Daphnia pulex: one gene and its partner. The protein of the gene in region 1 interacts with the protein of each later gene in a pairwise test. Links are inferred from orthologs where the notes say so. Each region holds a gene or a part of one and is shown on either strand. Other genes may lie near its edges.

What was found.
Region 2: the proteins of LIM and senescent cell antigen-like-containing domain protein 1 (region 1) and ras suppressor protein 1-like interact in a two-hybrid assay, tested with the Caenorhabditis elegans proteins (2 studies listed by BioGRID). The link is inferred for Daphnia pulex from reciprocal best matches to the Caenorhabditis elegans genes unc-97 and rsu-1.

The regions. Positions count from the first base shown.
Region 1 is NC_060026.1:14,672,927-14,680,978, reverse strand, and holds LIM and senescent cell antigen-like-containing domain protein 1, read left to right. Parts: upstream 1-3,425; 5' UTR 3,426-3,566; coding exon 3,567-3,856; intron 3,857-3,936; coding exon 3,937-4,041; intron 4,042-4,102; coding exon 4,103-4,215; intron 4,216-4,281; coding exon 4,282-4,474; intron 4,475-4,534; coding exon 4,535-4,676; intron 4,677-4,737; coding exon 4,738-4,854; intron 4,855-4,918; coding exon 4,919-5,060; intron 5,061-5,124; coding exon 5,125-5,330; 3' UTR 5,331-5,776; downstream 5,777-8,052. Other genes in the region: phosphatidylinositol-3-phosphatase SAC1-like, read left to right, coding at 1-124; protein SAND-like, read right to left, coding at 442-495, 563-649, 731-1,015, 1,099-1,219, 1,294-1,472, 1,542-1,690, 1,756-1,850, 1,907-2,104 and 2 more; solute carrier family 41 member 1-like, read left to right, coding at 6,824-7,165, 7,245-7,424, 7,493-7,637, 7,708-7,764, 7,827-7,916, 7,986-8,052. UniProt on the Caenorhabditis elegans protein: Component of an integrin containing attachment complex, which is required for muscle development and maintenance. Probably function in adherens junction.
Region 2 is NC_060024.1:9,496,562-9,504,473, reverse strand, and holds ras suppressor protein 1-like, read left to right. Parts: upstream 1-2,802; 5' UTR 2,803-2,969; coding exon 2,970-3,075; intron 3,076-3,129; coding exon 3,130-3,301; intron 3,302-3,364; coding exon 3,365-3,483; intron 3,484-3,552; coding exon 3,553-3,635; intron 3,636-3,701; coding exon 3,702-3,816; intron 3,817-3,889; coding exon 3,890-4,022; intron 4,023-4,177; coding exon of another isoform or gene 4,178-4,256; exon of another isoform or gene 4,257-4,280; intron 4,281-4,594; coding exon 4,595-4,682; 3' UTR 4,683-5,019; downstream 5,020-7,912. Other genes in the region: chromodomain-helicase-DNA-binding protein 1-like, read right to left, coding at 5,499-5,808, 5,874-6,062, 6,130-6,353, 6,424-6,613, 6,683-6,861, 6,934-7,570, 7,643-7,912.

The DNA of each region.
Region 1 (8,052 bases):
TCTTCTTTTTTGGTCGGGCATGGCAGTAGCATCTTCTTATTTTATCGTGGTCAATGGCCCCGAATTTGTTGACTGGCCAAAGCTAGTTCGCAGAAATCAAATACCCAAACAGCTGGAATTGTAGAGTTTAATCATTTACAAGTTGGCGATATTTCACTAAAAATTTTCTCTTCCTATCACTTGTTTTAAGCCCTTACCCTTTTTTCCTGCAATTGGCTACTAAGTGTCCCCACACATCTCTTGGTTGGATAGTTCTTTAAAGATATATTGTAGAACTTCAATAAAAAATTCTACAAAAGATTCGTTTTCTCATTTGCAGTTATAATGTATCACAAATGGAATGAATATTAACACAACCATAACAGATAAATCTGGAAGTCTAAATATATCATGATGCATGAAAAACGAAGGTGAATGTAAAGGAAGGCTGCATTCGGTACTTTACCAACTTCCTGAAGTAGTGATGAAGTGGATTTCTTCTTCACGCTTACTCCACTAAAGGGGAACATAATAACAATCAACCTATAAATGTGGATTCAGTACATCGGAGCCATTCAATTACCTTAAGTATAGCATTGGCCGCGTTCATTATTGCCGCTTTTGTCGTCATCGGCTCTACGACCATATATAGTTCATAAGTAGGAGTAACCTGATAAGATATTGAAGATAAATCATATTATTAGTAAGTAAATCTAAAAAAGGTGAGCCATTTTATTTTGAAACAACTTACCAAGCCAAAAAGTATCTCTTTTTCAGCAGTGTGACACATCATTTTCAATGGGCGTGATGGAGAATGCATGCGACCGTGAACATGTCGGTAGAGATCCATTAAATAGAGCTGCCCTTGTTCATGTTGATAAGGCGGACCATTATTAGAATAAGTGTACTGAGCAGACAATCTTGACTTGTACACAAAATGTCGGATATCCGAACAGCCCACTTGACTAAGGATAGGGCAGATCGAATGTAAAGCCAGAGTGATCGATTCGAGAATGTTATTGTGGCGTCGTAGTCTCTGGACAAAGGAACCAAAATATCGATTAGATTAAGCAGCCAAGAAACTGAAAAAAAAAAAAAAAAAAAAAAAAAAAAATTTACATCGACGATATTCTTTTTGGCATCGGAAAGACTGAAAAAAGAATCACGATCGGTAGTAAAAAAGAGCAGGCACGCTTGACAATCTTCACTCAGGTATGACGCATGAACGTACAAAAACGCTCTAATTCGAGAAAATAAAAAATTAACAAATAAAAATGTCTGATTTTGCAGTTTTGTAATGGATAAGGGCCAGACCTCGGATCGTAATGTGGAAGGCATATGGGGGTCCAACCTTCAGCCGTTTTAAATGTTTCGGATGAGTTTACTAGATTGATGATTAGATGTACATCAGAGGGATGAAGCAGGTGCTTTTTGTTAACACGCACCAAACTGATCAACTGATTGTTACCAATCAACACAGTGAAGACTAAGCCCTGTAAAAACGGAAAGAAAATGTTTAGTCACCCGAGACGTGAGCATTTGAATTCTAACTGTAAAGACACCTTAATTTTGCTACATTGTTGATGGATAGTTTGCGTGACCGCATCTCGGTCACAAGAAGGCATCGGTAGGCATTTGACTGCACCAAGTAGAACGGAAAAATCGGTGTCCATGTAGTTGACCAAATTATCCATGAGTCGTTCGGAACCAGCTAAAAAAACAAATAATTATATAAAGGAAAGATTTTAACTCGATTACTAAGAAGTCAAGGCATACCTAAAAGCCTCCGAAGATCGTAATTTCGCCTCTGCTCAAAGATTTTTTCAAGGTGTGCTCGAGTAATAACGCTAGAGATTTGATTGAAGATATACCTAAAAAGGCAGCAATTTAGATTTGAAACTAACTAAAAAATTTATAATTGCATTACTCTAATTGCAGCTGTAACTGAAGTACACTATCTCGTAATTTCGAAACAGCTACCAAAATAAGAGGTGTTTTGTGTAGAAAAACAAATTTGGTATCACCAGCCAAAATCATATCCATGGAGTCTTCCCCATCTTCCACAAATGAAACAAGTGCCTGCATCACTCCAAATAAGGTAACAAGCTGCTCCTCATTTCCATGTCTGTAATTTAAAAAGGAAAACAATTAATTATAAAAAATGACAAATAGCTAATTCAAACCCAACCTTGTGTAGATGGGTTTTCCTGCTTCACTCAAGACAAAGAAATGTTTCTTTTGATTTTTCCACAGCAAGGAGTCTGATCCACTCTCTTCATCACCAGCAGCAGCTGGCAGGGAATTTTCTTCCAAGATTGATGAAGCCTGATTCATTAATGCTTTTTAACAAATCTTGAGGGGAGATTATTACTCAGTAAATCTCACATTGGTTGTACGTGATATGGAATCCTCATTTTGATTGCTGAAAGACTCTCGTTCTAAGTAGACCCTGGGCCGTACAAATTGTTGGTCTTGGTTATTGGAGACAAGATCTGATTCAAAAATCAAATCAGGTTGAGCTTCAACGGCAATTTCTAATAATCCGACATCACCGTTCTGAAAACCATCAGTACAACCGGGGTCTGCAGGAGGTTGTATGTTTAAGCTCACATCATTGGAATCACTATTTGTTCTGGTACCGCTTAAATTATTTAGACTTTCATATGGATCACTGCTGTCAAGAATTCCATGACTGGAGCTAGTAGCTGCATCAAAATTGTTAACCGAATTCGAAACAATAATTTCGCAATCTACTACTTCTGAAGCCATGTTTACTATCAAAATTATGCTTCTTACATCACCTGGCGGCGTGTTTTGAAGGGGCGTGTACAGAGGGCGGCGTTTAATGTCAGATGTCACAATAAAATGGGTTGAAGTTCCGATAATTGAAAAACGTCACAAATGCAGAGAAAATTAATTTTACAAAGGTAATGGTGTGCTTTTTATATACTGATATCGAAAAGACAACAATTAATTAATCGAGTTCGTTGAATGACCACCAGATGGCTCTACAAGTCAATCAAAACATTATAATACGGACCGGATGCAGTAAATCGTGGATTTAGAAGATGCGGTAAAATGATAAAGAAAAAGAAGGGAAATGTCTAAAACAACGATTTCGAAATTCGTCGGGGCTCAATCCGAATTAAGGTAAATTTTAAAAAATGCGAGAACCAAATGTTAATTTTTTTACAAGGAATTTTATCAATTTTAGCACATAGTATTTTTGCGTTTCTCTTAGCTTTTTTCCCGCATTTTAGTCCCTTTCACTTTTTTCACAAAATTATCTCCTTATTTGGGCTGATCTCTGAACGGGCGCGGTTTGTGTTGGTGTTAGCACCCGATTTCGTCCACAGGTCTCTACAATCTGTTGAAGTTCTTATAGTTATTGAGTTTATTTTATCGTTGTGTTCATTTCAAATGCCGCCTGGGTAAGCTATTGATAAGATAAATACTATTACTGATATTAATAAGCTCTTGAAGTGGCCACACATGAGATAACACATTTAGTTATCAATTGCCGTTCTTCACCCCATAAATTGCTGGACATTTCGGTTGTGTTCACTGAAGAAACTCCATTTTTCACCATGGCAAAAAGACCTAACATTCTTGTTCTTAAACCCTTTGAAAATAGTAACCTTTACCTTAGAAGAATGGAGGATAAGATGAAACCAAGTGCAAGTGCAAGTGAAGTAAATGAACTTGAGGGTTTGCTTGAAGACCTTACATCTAATGATGTTCCGAAGGGAATTCAAAATCAACCACTTCCTCAGATACCTAGCTTGAATTCAGTTCAAACTTACATTTTAAAAAATACTTATGCTAACAGCCCTCCTAAACTTCCTTCTAGAAACCTTAAACCTAGTAATATTGATAGGTATTGTGGTTTAACAGTTAGTATAGTAGATTTCACACATTCTGAATTTCAAGAAACTAATAATGGTTTGAACTTTAAAGCGATATGTACAAGAACACCCAATGTGTGAGGTGTGATTATGGTTTTGAGCCTCATGAAAAGATTGTCAATACAAATGGAGAGCTGTGGCATCCCCAGTGCTTTGTGTAAGTACTCACACCAACATTTTTACTTGAAATTGAATTCTAATTTCTTAATCTTTCACAGGTGCGCTCAATGCTTTCGCTCCTTTCCAGAAGGAATTTTTTACGAGTTTGAGGGTCGCAAGTATTGTGAGCATGATTTTCAGATGCTCTTTGCTCCTTGTTGCGGTCGCTGTGGTAAGCGTTAAATCGATTGACTAATTCATAGATTTTTAAATAATAACGCATTTTTTGTATTCTTAGGTGAATTTATCATCGGTCGTGTTATTAAAGCAATGAATGCCAATTGGCATCCCAAGTGCTTCCTCTGCGAGATGTGTGACAAAGAACTAGCCGACCAGGGGTTCATTCGTCACCAGAATAAGGCACTCTGCCACGATTGTAACGCTCGAGCAAAAGCCGCCAGCTTGGGAAAACATGTCTGCCATAAGTGCCAGTAAGTGCTGTGTATAGTTGAAAATTTCATCGGAATCTAAGGATCATTATTTTTATTTAGCTCTATGATTGATGATCGTCCGCTACGTTTCCGTGGCGAAGTCTATCATCCTTATCATTTCAACTGTTCGTCTTGCGGAATCGAACTCAACGCGGACGCACGTGAAGTTAAAAGCAGACCAGGTTTCACCGCTAATGAGATGGTATTTCACATTATTTTTTAACATTTAATATCTTTGTGACAATTGTTTAAAATTTACACAGAACGAGTTGTATTGCTTGAGATGCCACGACAAAATGGGTATTCCAATTTGTGGTGCTTGCCGTCGTCCAATTGAAGAGCGTGTCGTTACGGCGTTAGGAAAGCATTTTCATGTTGAGGTATAAAACTTAATGAAATCATCACAGGGATTAAATTTACCTATTACAATGGATTGATTTGTAGCATTTCGTATGCGCCAAATGCGAGAAACCGTTCTTGGGTAATCGCCATTATGAGAAGAAGGGTCTTGCCTATTGCGAAACCCATTATCATCAGCTTTTCGGCAATCTTTGCTTCGTTTGCAATCAAGTTATTGGAGGAGATGGTAAAGCATTTTATACATGTTCTTCTTTTAAGACATTAACACCTTGATTGGCTTTTCTTTTCAGTGTTTACCGCATTGAACAAAGCCTGGTGTGTTCACCATTTCGCTTGTTCGGTTTGTGACACAAAAATGTCGCAGAAAACCAAGTTCTACGAATTCGACTTGAAACCGACTTGTAAAAAATGTTTCGATAAATTTCCGGCTGAACTTCGGAAGCGTTTGAAGAAAGCTTACGAGACTAGCCCGAGGAAAAGCTCTGCAGCGAATTAGTATGGGAAAAATAAGTAACGAATCAACATAATTGGATTCGTTTTTTTTTCCGGCTCTTGTTTACCTTTTAATATTCTTACTCCTAGTAAATTACTAAATTGATAAATATGCTGAATTTTAAAATTCTTTTTCCTTCACAAGGTGCCTTGCTTTTACTGTATCAAAGATAAGACCACAAACTTTTTAATTACAAGTTAAGCGATTAATGACTTTACGTCTGCCGATTAGAGTAAGTACAAGAATTATTCATATTTAAATTCTACAGGATTTTCGTGTTTTTTTACTTCACTTCTCGCTTATTTCTGTAAGCTACAGTCACACTTTTAAAATGTTTCCCTCATTGAAATCACTTTCAAGTTCACAAAAAACAACAAAATATCTTAACAACTGCTGACGTGTCTTCCGAATAATGATTTTTAAACATGTAATAAACTAATAATCTCACAGTAGCGTTTACAATTTTATCAATGCGTTCACAGGTCATGAATGGGAAAAATCTGTTGTTCAAGATGCTAAGACAGACATTTACCTAAATGATAAGATCCACAATCATGATAGGTCACAAAAGAGAAGGCGCTCAAAATAGTCATGTAATAACTAAATTTCGATATTGATTAAATTTTAAGTTAATGCCGCTGCCGACGCAACGGAGATAAAGTTAAATTGAAAATGACATGAAAACTCATAAGAAGATATTACTTTTGAAATATGCACTGATGATATGAGATCAGTTAACCCGGCTCTTTATAATTTATTAATTCAAGTTTGTCTTGTTAGAAAATAGAGAAATAATCAAATTCGTTGTCGAGAATTGATCTTTGGAGAATTTGGACAAAAATGTAAAAATCTCCATTCTGTTGTAGGGTGAGCTAATAGCTAATAGCCTTTGGCGATTTTGGTGACCTTTTTTTTTGGAAATCATTTGTGAACAAAGTACGACGACTTATGAACGCACCCCGTAAAAAGGTGTAGGCCGTGCCGTCTGCTATTTTTGCCACGTCTTGTGAGAAAGTGACAGATGTCTGTGTTCGATTGTGTTCGTTCGTTCTATGTCACGTTTCGTTCTCCCGCTCCCGTATTGTTCACTTTGTATCAGTAGTTATAAACTGCAGTTAGTAATTAAGCTCAGCTCTTAGAATTTCCGCGATCTCTTAAAATTGTATATAACGGTTTGTGTTACAGAGCTCTTTTTCTAAGGTCGAATTTGTTTGTCTTTTCGTTTCAGTGACGCACAATGTAAAATCCTTTTGCTTATTATAGTCTTCCTTGTTATTGCTTTAGCCTGTCCTTGCTAAGGTGCTGTGTGAACATTTTGATACCCCATAGATTTATATCAGCATAATAGTCATGTACCTGACAACTGTGATTATGAATCTCTCAATATTCATCATGCCTTCTGTACTTGTAGTATGTTTTTCATAATATTTCTCAGTTTGAACTTGTAATTGATATATTTTTAATTTACAGGCTGCAAATTTGAAGGCTTAGCCATTATGAATTCTTTCCCTAATGTGAAATTCAAATCATCTAACAATCTTAGAAAAAGAATTGTAGGAAAGAAAATGGGTCCCCAGACAGAGGACAACAATTGTGAAGTCATTGAAATGATTGAACAAATTCCTACATCTGATACTAACAAAGATGATGATTGGGAAAATAGTGAAGAAGGGGAATGTGAAGTCATGCTGAAGACATCATCACCAAAGGCTATCAATGATGATGTTGTTGAAGAAATTGAAGAAGGCTTCTGGCTACTTGCCTTTCAAGTATTCTTTCCATTTCTCATTGCTGGATTAGGGATGGTGGGAGCTGGGATTGTGCTTGATATCGTTCAGGTAAGAAAAGGAACATTTGATATCATTTTTCATTTTTTATGAACAGATTTTATTACAAAAACATGTATTTTATTTCCAGCATTGGAATGTCTTCCAAGTGGTAACTGAGCTTTTCATTTTGGTGCCAGCTTTATTGGGGCTCAAAGGCAATCTTGAAATGACATTGGCTTCTAGGCTGTCTACTCTAGCGAATCTTGGCCTAATGGATTCGCCAGATCAGCGCTGGAGTTTAATCAAAAGCAATTTAGCATTGATACAGGTATGTACAGTTTGTCTAAATCCTAATTCCAGGAAGACCTTTGAAGATTTGTCCCAAACCTCTTCTAGTGTCAGGCAATTGTCGTGGGCTTTCTCGCATCAATAGCTGCGGTTATCATGGGTTGGATTCCCGAAGGCACATTTGACATTTATCATGCATTGCTCATTAGCGCAAGCGCTGTACTTACTGCCTCCTTTGCAAGTTTTGTTCTCGGTACAGCAATATTGAGATAAACAATTTTTGCAATTGCGATACTTAAGTTTTCCTTTCCAAATTCATTTAGGTATTATTATGGTGGTTGTGATAATTATTTCTCATCGTTACAAAATTAATCCGGACAGTAAGAAATTATATTCATTTATTATTTATTTTCTTATTGAAAAAAAACCTATTTCTTCTCAGATGTAGCGACCCCAATTGCAGCCTCGCTAGGAGATTTGACCACTTTAGGGCTTCTTGCAGCAATTTCTACTTGGCTCTTCAATGCAATCAGTAATTTTTCTGTGAATATAGTTAATGGTGTGACTGAATGAATTAACGGAGCTCTGATGTTTTGTTTAGCAAACGTTGAAGCTGGTCTTTGGTGGATATCTCCTTGCATTCTATGTGCCTTCATCGCCTTGCTGCC
Region 2 (7,912 bases), on another chromosome or scaffold:
CCATATTGTTTTTTTATTCTTTTGTTTAGATCATGTAGTGTTGCCAATTTTCTTAATCTAAACAGCTGATTTTTTTAATTAAGAAGAGGAGCGAAATCACTCAATCAGCGAATTTTATTTCTTCCTCTTTGAATTGTACTAAGTTTTGGTTATACAAATGAGGTGTTAAAAAATTAACACGACGACCTTGTCGCGTTTGATGAATCATGGTGATAAAAAAAGGTGAAGATGGTCTTATCCGCGTGTTGGCTCCTAGCTTCCTCCATAAAGGGGTACAGTGTTCGCTTTCATTCGAGCCAGGGTTGTGCAGACTAAAGATCATTACGTCGGTACCCAGTCATCTTTGAACCTGGAAACGCATCAGACAATTCTCAGATGAATGGGGAGACATGGAAACACATCATACAATCTCTCCGATTTCAATCACTTCCTTAGTCACCGTATAACCATCCTGTGGCGCCGTCAGTGGGTGTGAAAGCAACTAAAGATGCTCCCCCGGGGATTTGAACTCCCATCACAAGGTGCCCCGATCACCAAGCGACTCCTCATCCTATTCACCCACCCGTCCACTATAATTGTACACAAAGAAAAGGAAATCTTTTCAATTTTAGTAGATCAATTTGATCAATTTTTATCATGATCAACTTCAATTTTAGTTAAATGATCGCCAGACGTGGAATTTGGTGAAAAGTAAAAAGAGTAGCGAATTTTATTAAAAATCACGGTTCAACCCGTTCAACATTGTAGGCGACTTCGCGTGTATTCTGAACAGGGAATAAATTTGTTAATCGATTTTAAATAATGAATTAAACATTTTATTATAAAATAAATTGTATATTTTTTTAAAAGGCAAGCAAAGACTGAAATTCACGTCTGTAGTTCTGTACAATACAGTCATCAGTCAATATTTCAAGTCAAACATTAAATGGTGGGAAAGATGCACACAATCCATAGAGACAAGCTTGGCAGCGAATGGGATCGTGATGAACCGCCAGAGATTTTTCTCTGGGTTGACTGTGTCGAATACGAACAATATTGTAGATATCTTGTGCATTTCTTTGCTCACCGTAATAGGACGTGGAAACGTGGCTAGCCAGAAACCTAATGGCATTTTCTATTTCTTCAGGGTACCAAAGTGGAGTCAGAAATTCAGACTAAATAAAAACAAACGAAATTAATTGACCGAAAAACAGAGGAGGAAACTAATTATTACCTCATCGAACGAGTCTGGCTGGTTGCAGATGCTACATTTTTGACCAATAATTTGAACAACGCTTCACACAGGACCTGGTCGCCTTGGCGACGGATCGGAACCAAAATGAGACCTACCCCTTCATCGACGTCCATCCTCTAGTGCACTATAACGACAATTTTAATCAAGATTACAAAACGCCCAGTTCAAAAGATTAGAAGAAAATGGAATTACCTTGCACTGGAACCGAACTTTGGCAGAGAAGGAAGTTGAATGCCACGGCCACTCGACGGATAGCGGAGGAAGTTCTGTGGGTTCCAATGTCCACAGATGTCCGTGTGCGGCTACAAACGGGTGAAAGAACCAGCAAAATGCGCTCTGTCAAAATGTCTCCAATCCACTGTAACATTTTCAAAATGCCAATAAGAAAATGGAAGCGAAGTAGATAATACGTCGAAGATTTATACTAAGTAAATTCATACTAGTTACTAGGGCATCGCATTCCTTCCCGGAAGAGGAACTGGCGGCGTGGACGGCGGAGGCAACGACCATTTGATGAGACGGTGATTAGCTTGAACTTGGTTGACTTGATGATGGGAAGATTTGTCTTTGCTGCTGGAATAACACGGAAATTGAATGGGTAGGGAACCAGCTCTACACTGTCCAGTGGAAGAAAAATTCCGATGACTTGATGAGGGAACACACCGCGACACTGACACTGGACTTTCGCTTCCTTTCGCATGGGCTCCATAAGAATTGCTTTTAAAAAAAGTTATCGCATCAAGAAAAACTAAAAAAGTAGAAAAAAAAAACTTTATGTTGCCTAATAAATTTTAAAATGTTATTTTGTTTCAGATAGCTCAGTTGGAATAAACGTTTCGTCGCCAGAAGAAGATAACACACGTTGTCTGGTCAAACGGTAAAATGTGCAACTAATTACATTGATAATATTAACGTCCGTGTATCCCGTCGGTAGCTCAGTTGGCAGAGCGGTGGACTGTAGATTCGTTTCATTCGTGAAAAAACAAGTTATCCATAGGTCGCTGGTTCAATTCCGGCCCGACGGAATCTATTTTGATGTCAATTCCTTTTAACGCAGATCAAAAGAAACGCAACAACGCGATTTTTTTATTGCGCTTCAATTCAGAATTATTCCGCTGAAATAAAAAATTATTAATTGTTGTTATTCGGTACTATCGGAATATGAAACTTACTTCGTTATTTGTAATAAAGAGAAAGGGAGGAGGCAGGAAAAATAGTCTTTGAGGGGAATGGGTGGCCACCAGCAGCAGGTAAATAGGACAACTGTAGTCAGAGTCAGAGAGTAGCAGCATTTACAAAAATTGAAGTAGGTCATAGAAGAGAATCATTATGATAGAATCTGAAACAGTTCAACGTGCGCATGGACTTACAAGTTTAACTATGCATATTGCATTTGTACTATATAAATAGCTTAGAATCCTTAAATAGACTAAAGTCAAAACGATACTTATTTTTTTTTTTTTTTGTCTTGCCAATAACGGTTCTTTTTTTTTCTTTAGATCGGTTGATTCATTGGTGGGAAGTTTCCATATTCCGCATTTTACCATTTCCGTCTGCTAGCAAAAACACTGGTCTGTCTTTTATCTCCTTTTTTGGTTGTTGTTTGGGGCTTTGGGCGTGTGAATGCACTAGATTGCTCGGATCGAAAAAGTTGACAAACCTTGCAATATTGTCTACATTCTTAAAACTTTGTAGTTATTATTATCATCTCTAGCCAAAGTTAATAATATTCAAAATGTCTAAAGTGAGAAAAATCATAGATGAAGCCAAAGAATCCAAGAATCCTGAGCTGGATTTGGTGGACAAGGGTATTTCTTCTTTTGACGAAATACCGAGTCTCCGTAAGTCGTTGTTTTCTTTATTATAGTGATACTTGACTAAACCTTATTTTATAGTTACCATGCTCAACTTGACCCGGATTACACTGACGCACAACAGAATATCAGTTGTAACCCCAGCTTTGGCCAACTTGACAAATCTTGAAATCCTGAACTTGTTTAATAATCAAGTTGAAGAACTCCCAACATCTTTGTCTTCCATGCCAAAACTTCGGATTTTAAACTTAGGGTAATATTTCAACCCGTTTGTTTATTGAAGATGTTGTTTTGAAATAAAGACATTGATTTATAGAATGAACAAGCTGAGCGCTCTTCCTCGAGGGTTTGGAGCCTTTCCTGTACTAGAGGTTTTAGATTTAACTTACAACAACTTGAATGAAAGTAGTTTACCTGGCAACTTCTTTATGATTGGTATTTTTTAAATTCATTTTGGAAAATCAAACTTTGTATTTCTAATTTATTGCTTGTTTTTTAAAATAGAAACACTCAGAGCCCTGTACTTGGGTGATAATGATTTTGAACGAATCCCACCCGAGATTGGCCATCTGAAAAATCTTCAAATTGTTAGTATTGCAAAGCAAAGTAAATAATCTCTTGTAATTAATTTACACATTTTTATAATTCTGCAGCTTGTTCTTCGAGATAATGATTTAGTTGAGCTCCCTAAAGAAATTGGTGAATTGGCCAGGCTGAGAGAATTGCATATTCAAGGCAATCGGTTGTCAGTTTTGCCCCCTGAATTAGGTTTGAAATTTAATACTGTAAAAAGAACGACAACAACAAAAGAATCCCCAGTTAACTTTATATTTGTTTATAGGTAACTTGGATCTCACCAGTAACAAATCCGTGATTAGAATGGAAAACAATCCATGGGTGGCACCAATTGCAGATCAGTTGCAAGTTGGTCTATCTCACGTAATTGATTATCTTCGATCAGAAACGTATAAATTGTGAGTACTAGTAATTAAACATTCAATTTTAAGTGGTAGTTTTGAGAAAACGATTTTCGGCTTGTACTATGTTGCTGGTTGTTACCCAGCTGTTGATCTTGGTTCAAAATCCATCTGTGATGCAACATTGAACGTTTTACTATTGGGGTTTTTAGTGTTCATGGTCGGCACGCTGTGACTCAAGCCCCGAATCGCGTTTCAGAAAAGCGAGACCGAAGCGTTTCAATCGATTAAGAAACGAAGAACTTCTTGTTGAAGGCATTATTTTATACTACACTTCTTATCTCTAACTGCCTGCACTAGAGATTTTTAAAACATGCAAAAAAAAGCTTGCTTTCATTTTTTTATATTTTAGTCAATCGCTGCCCATTCTGATAATTTGAGAGATATGAAATAGTGGCTAGAGCGATTTATAATGCTCGTTTATATTTGTTTGTCATTCGTCCTCGTGAATCACAAAGAACTTTAGTGCCGCACAAACCAAACTGACTTGCCGTTTGAATGCTTGTGGTGCTGAACGTAACCCTAAAATTACTGTTTTTATTCTGTATTAATTTCATTCTTTTTTTCAGTGTCTACGGACGTCATATTTCGGCCAATGCTCCCGCCCCTGCCCGACTCACAGAGAGAACAAAGAAGAGCTCCAAACCTAAACCATAATTCATGGAATTTTTTCAGTAGTATAGCTTCTATGGCTCTGTTTCATCAATTTTCTGATTTTCTTGTTCAAACCGAACATTGATTTTCAGAACAGATAATCCAAATTAATCATTACATTCTTCGCCTTGTTATCAAATGTGCCAACTGCTGCCTTCCGTTCTTTGAATGGACATTTCTTCTAATCATGTAATATTTTTTCTTTACGAACTAACGTTGTCTTCCAACTTTTTTCGCGTTTTCTCGTCCGTTGTTCTTCTACTAGCGCAGATTTATTGAACATGCATACATTGGGTGTTGAATTTAACGAAGTAGTAGGAGAAATAAATAAAGCAATCAACCAGCCCATTTTTAACAACACAAAATGTATTCGTTCTTCTTTATGTACAGGCATGTCCATAAAACATTTATTTTTCTTTACAATGTATAAGTGGGGCGCGACCGTAACTTCAAACGAGCACAACTCTGTTATCTTTTCCTTTTCCTACAAGGTACAAAAAGGAAACACGGTACATGACACACACATAATATGTCCGACGTTTAAAAAAAATTTCCAAAAGTGACAAAAAAAAACATAATTTTTGAAGATAGTAAACGTGGTGTTGGCAGCCAATTGAAAGCACATCCCAAAACATTTATAGTGCGTGATACGGTCCAATACAAATAGGATTTCTATTATTCGTGACTTTATATCGCGCATCCTGAAACCAAAAGGCAATTTCGAATCCCCATGAGAGTCGATGAGATTAGCTCATTAACTGCTAAAAGAGGAACGGATGAGAAAGAGAGGGACAACAAGTACACTTGCGCAAAAGATGTTCAAGATCCGTTTGGAGGTGGGAGAGGGGGGCGACGATCTGCGAACTCGCGGCGGTATTCTCGATCTTTATTCCCACGCCAATCCGCATAGCCACTACCTTGCATCCCACGAGCATGATTGGGCGGAGGCTCAAAGTCACCGTAATGAGAACCGCTATGAGAACCACCAGCAGGTCCGTGTCCGTAACCCCTTTTATCTATAGCTGGCGGTCGGTAATCACGTTCTCTGTGATCCCGCGGATCTCGATCCGAACGAGCAAATCCGGAAGCTCCTACTCCAGCGGCATGCTGACGACCATATCCGTCTCGCCTATGATAAACAGTTAATAATCAGAATATGCCATACTATTCAATCCAATTTCAATGGTAACAAACCTTTCACTGGCGTATCTTTCGTCACGAGGAACTCCCATCCAACGCTCCCGATCCCTATCCCGATCTCTGTCGACATGTGGATTGTAATTTGTGGCTCCCAGAGGTGGTGGCGGTGGACGACTGTAAGCACCACCAGCAGGAAGTCGATCCCTCTCTCGATCTCGCCCTCTTTCTCTATCACGATCTCGACTGTCAACAATCATGATAACATATCAATTTCAGAGCCAAAGAAAGATATCGATTTTGCGAAGCTTACCGGTCTCGATCACGCTCACATTCGGATGGGAATTGTTCTCTCCTCTCCGTTGGAGAAGGAGTTGGCCCTCTACCTCGATCACGTTCGTAGTCATTGGCTTTGTCAACCCAGCTATCGACTATAGTCGCACCATTATATGGTCTTTTGTTTGGTAAATGTTGCTGCTGAGCCTCTTCCGGCTCATGACGACGTTTAGTTGGAATGTTGTAACTCGAGGAACGATTCTATTTATTAAAAAAAAACAATCACAAGATTAATGGAAACGTTCTTCTTAACAAATAATAAGCAAACTACCTCTTCTTTGACTTTAGGCGTCTTTTCCTTGTTTTTGTCCTTACTCCGCCCTTCTTTGTCTTTAATCTTGGCAGAACTTTTCTCGCCATCTTCGTTTCCTTTACCCTGCTTCTTGATGGCATTACGATACAGCTTAAACAATTTTTTGGCGTCGAATTCAGTGAATTTGGATACAAAGTACCAAAGGTTGCTACGGAAAAAACGAAACGAAAATTATTAATTTAAATCCAACACCCCATGTCAACTCTGCTTCATTTACTTGCGCCAAACTCTGTTACGTTCGGGGTCAGGTATGGCGGCCAGGCACTTGTCAATGTGTTCGCCAATGTGTAAAAGGCACTGCTGAGTATGCTGAATCTGTTCCGTTTCAGACATACTCTGGGGAGGGTTGTCCAGCGCCTTCAAAGACTTTTTCACGGGTCTCATCTTTTCTTTGCACTGGTGAAAGCAAATTCAAATTTACAATTAGTTTTACTCACGGCCAACAACCTGAAACTCAAAATTAATTACCTCGTTGAATATGGATGGATCTAATTCACCAATAATTTCAACAGCCCGAGGAACACTATTGGCAGTAAAGTGCATGGGTCCGGCATCCTTTTTCTTGACCTTTTTGTCTTTTTTCGAAATTGAATCTTTCTTGCGACCTTCTTTCACGTCGGAAATAAGACGGCAAGGGGGTAACAAACGCTCGTCTTCAGTACGACTCTCCATATGCGAATCTTCGTCCTCGGTTTTGACCTTCCCTGGTTTGGGTGTTTTTGACGAGGAAGCACGACGAGTCGAGTTACTCGGCGATGGGCTGTTAAGAGTAAAATCTTCTCCTGAACTGATATCTTCCGTTTCGCCGACCAATGACTTGGAAACGGCTTTGGGTTTACGTTGTCTTTTGGGTTTGACTGGTTTGCCCAACTGCTGGGCTTCATAGAGTTTTGACATTACTTTGAGTAGATAATCGGCTCGGTTTTGCAAGTGTTTGGCTTGCGGTTTAGCATCCTGTCCGTCGGGGAGAATTTTATCAGACAATCCGGAATTGGGATCCATTTTCATAGCTTCCCAAGAGCCCATGCCGTACTCATAGATAGCGCAAAGCAGCCGGGAATCGTCGTCATTGGTCCAATCGATATCCCAATGTGGATCACGGAGTCTGGCGCAAACAAATAACATTATTAAATAACTTGATATGACAAAAGTACTCAATTTCTTTATAAGAACTTACTTGGTTGGTAAGTACCAGCGTTTTCTTTCTTCTACGTTAGCTGGCAAGAGTTTAGAAAGCGGTTCGAGCTCGTGTAAGGAAGTCATCAAGGTTTTGGCGTTGATAGATACATTTGAAATCTTCAATGAGGGACCTCGTTCACGCTTTTTCCGTCCACCAGCCGTCATGCCATCATCAACTACTTCTGCTGGCATGTCTTTGCCCGTTTTTTGTGACTCAAGTGCCTCCTGGCATCGGGCAAGGATGAGCTCACCTAGCTTTCTGAGGTCA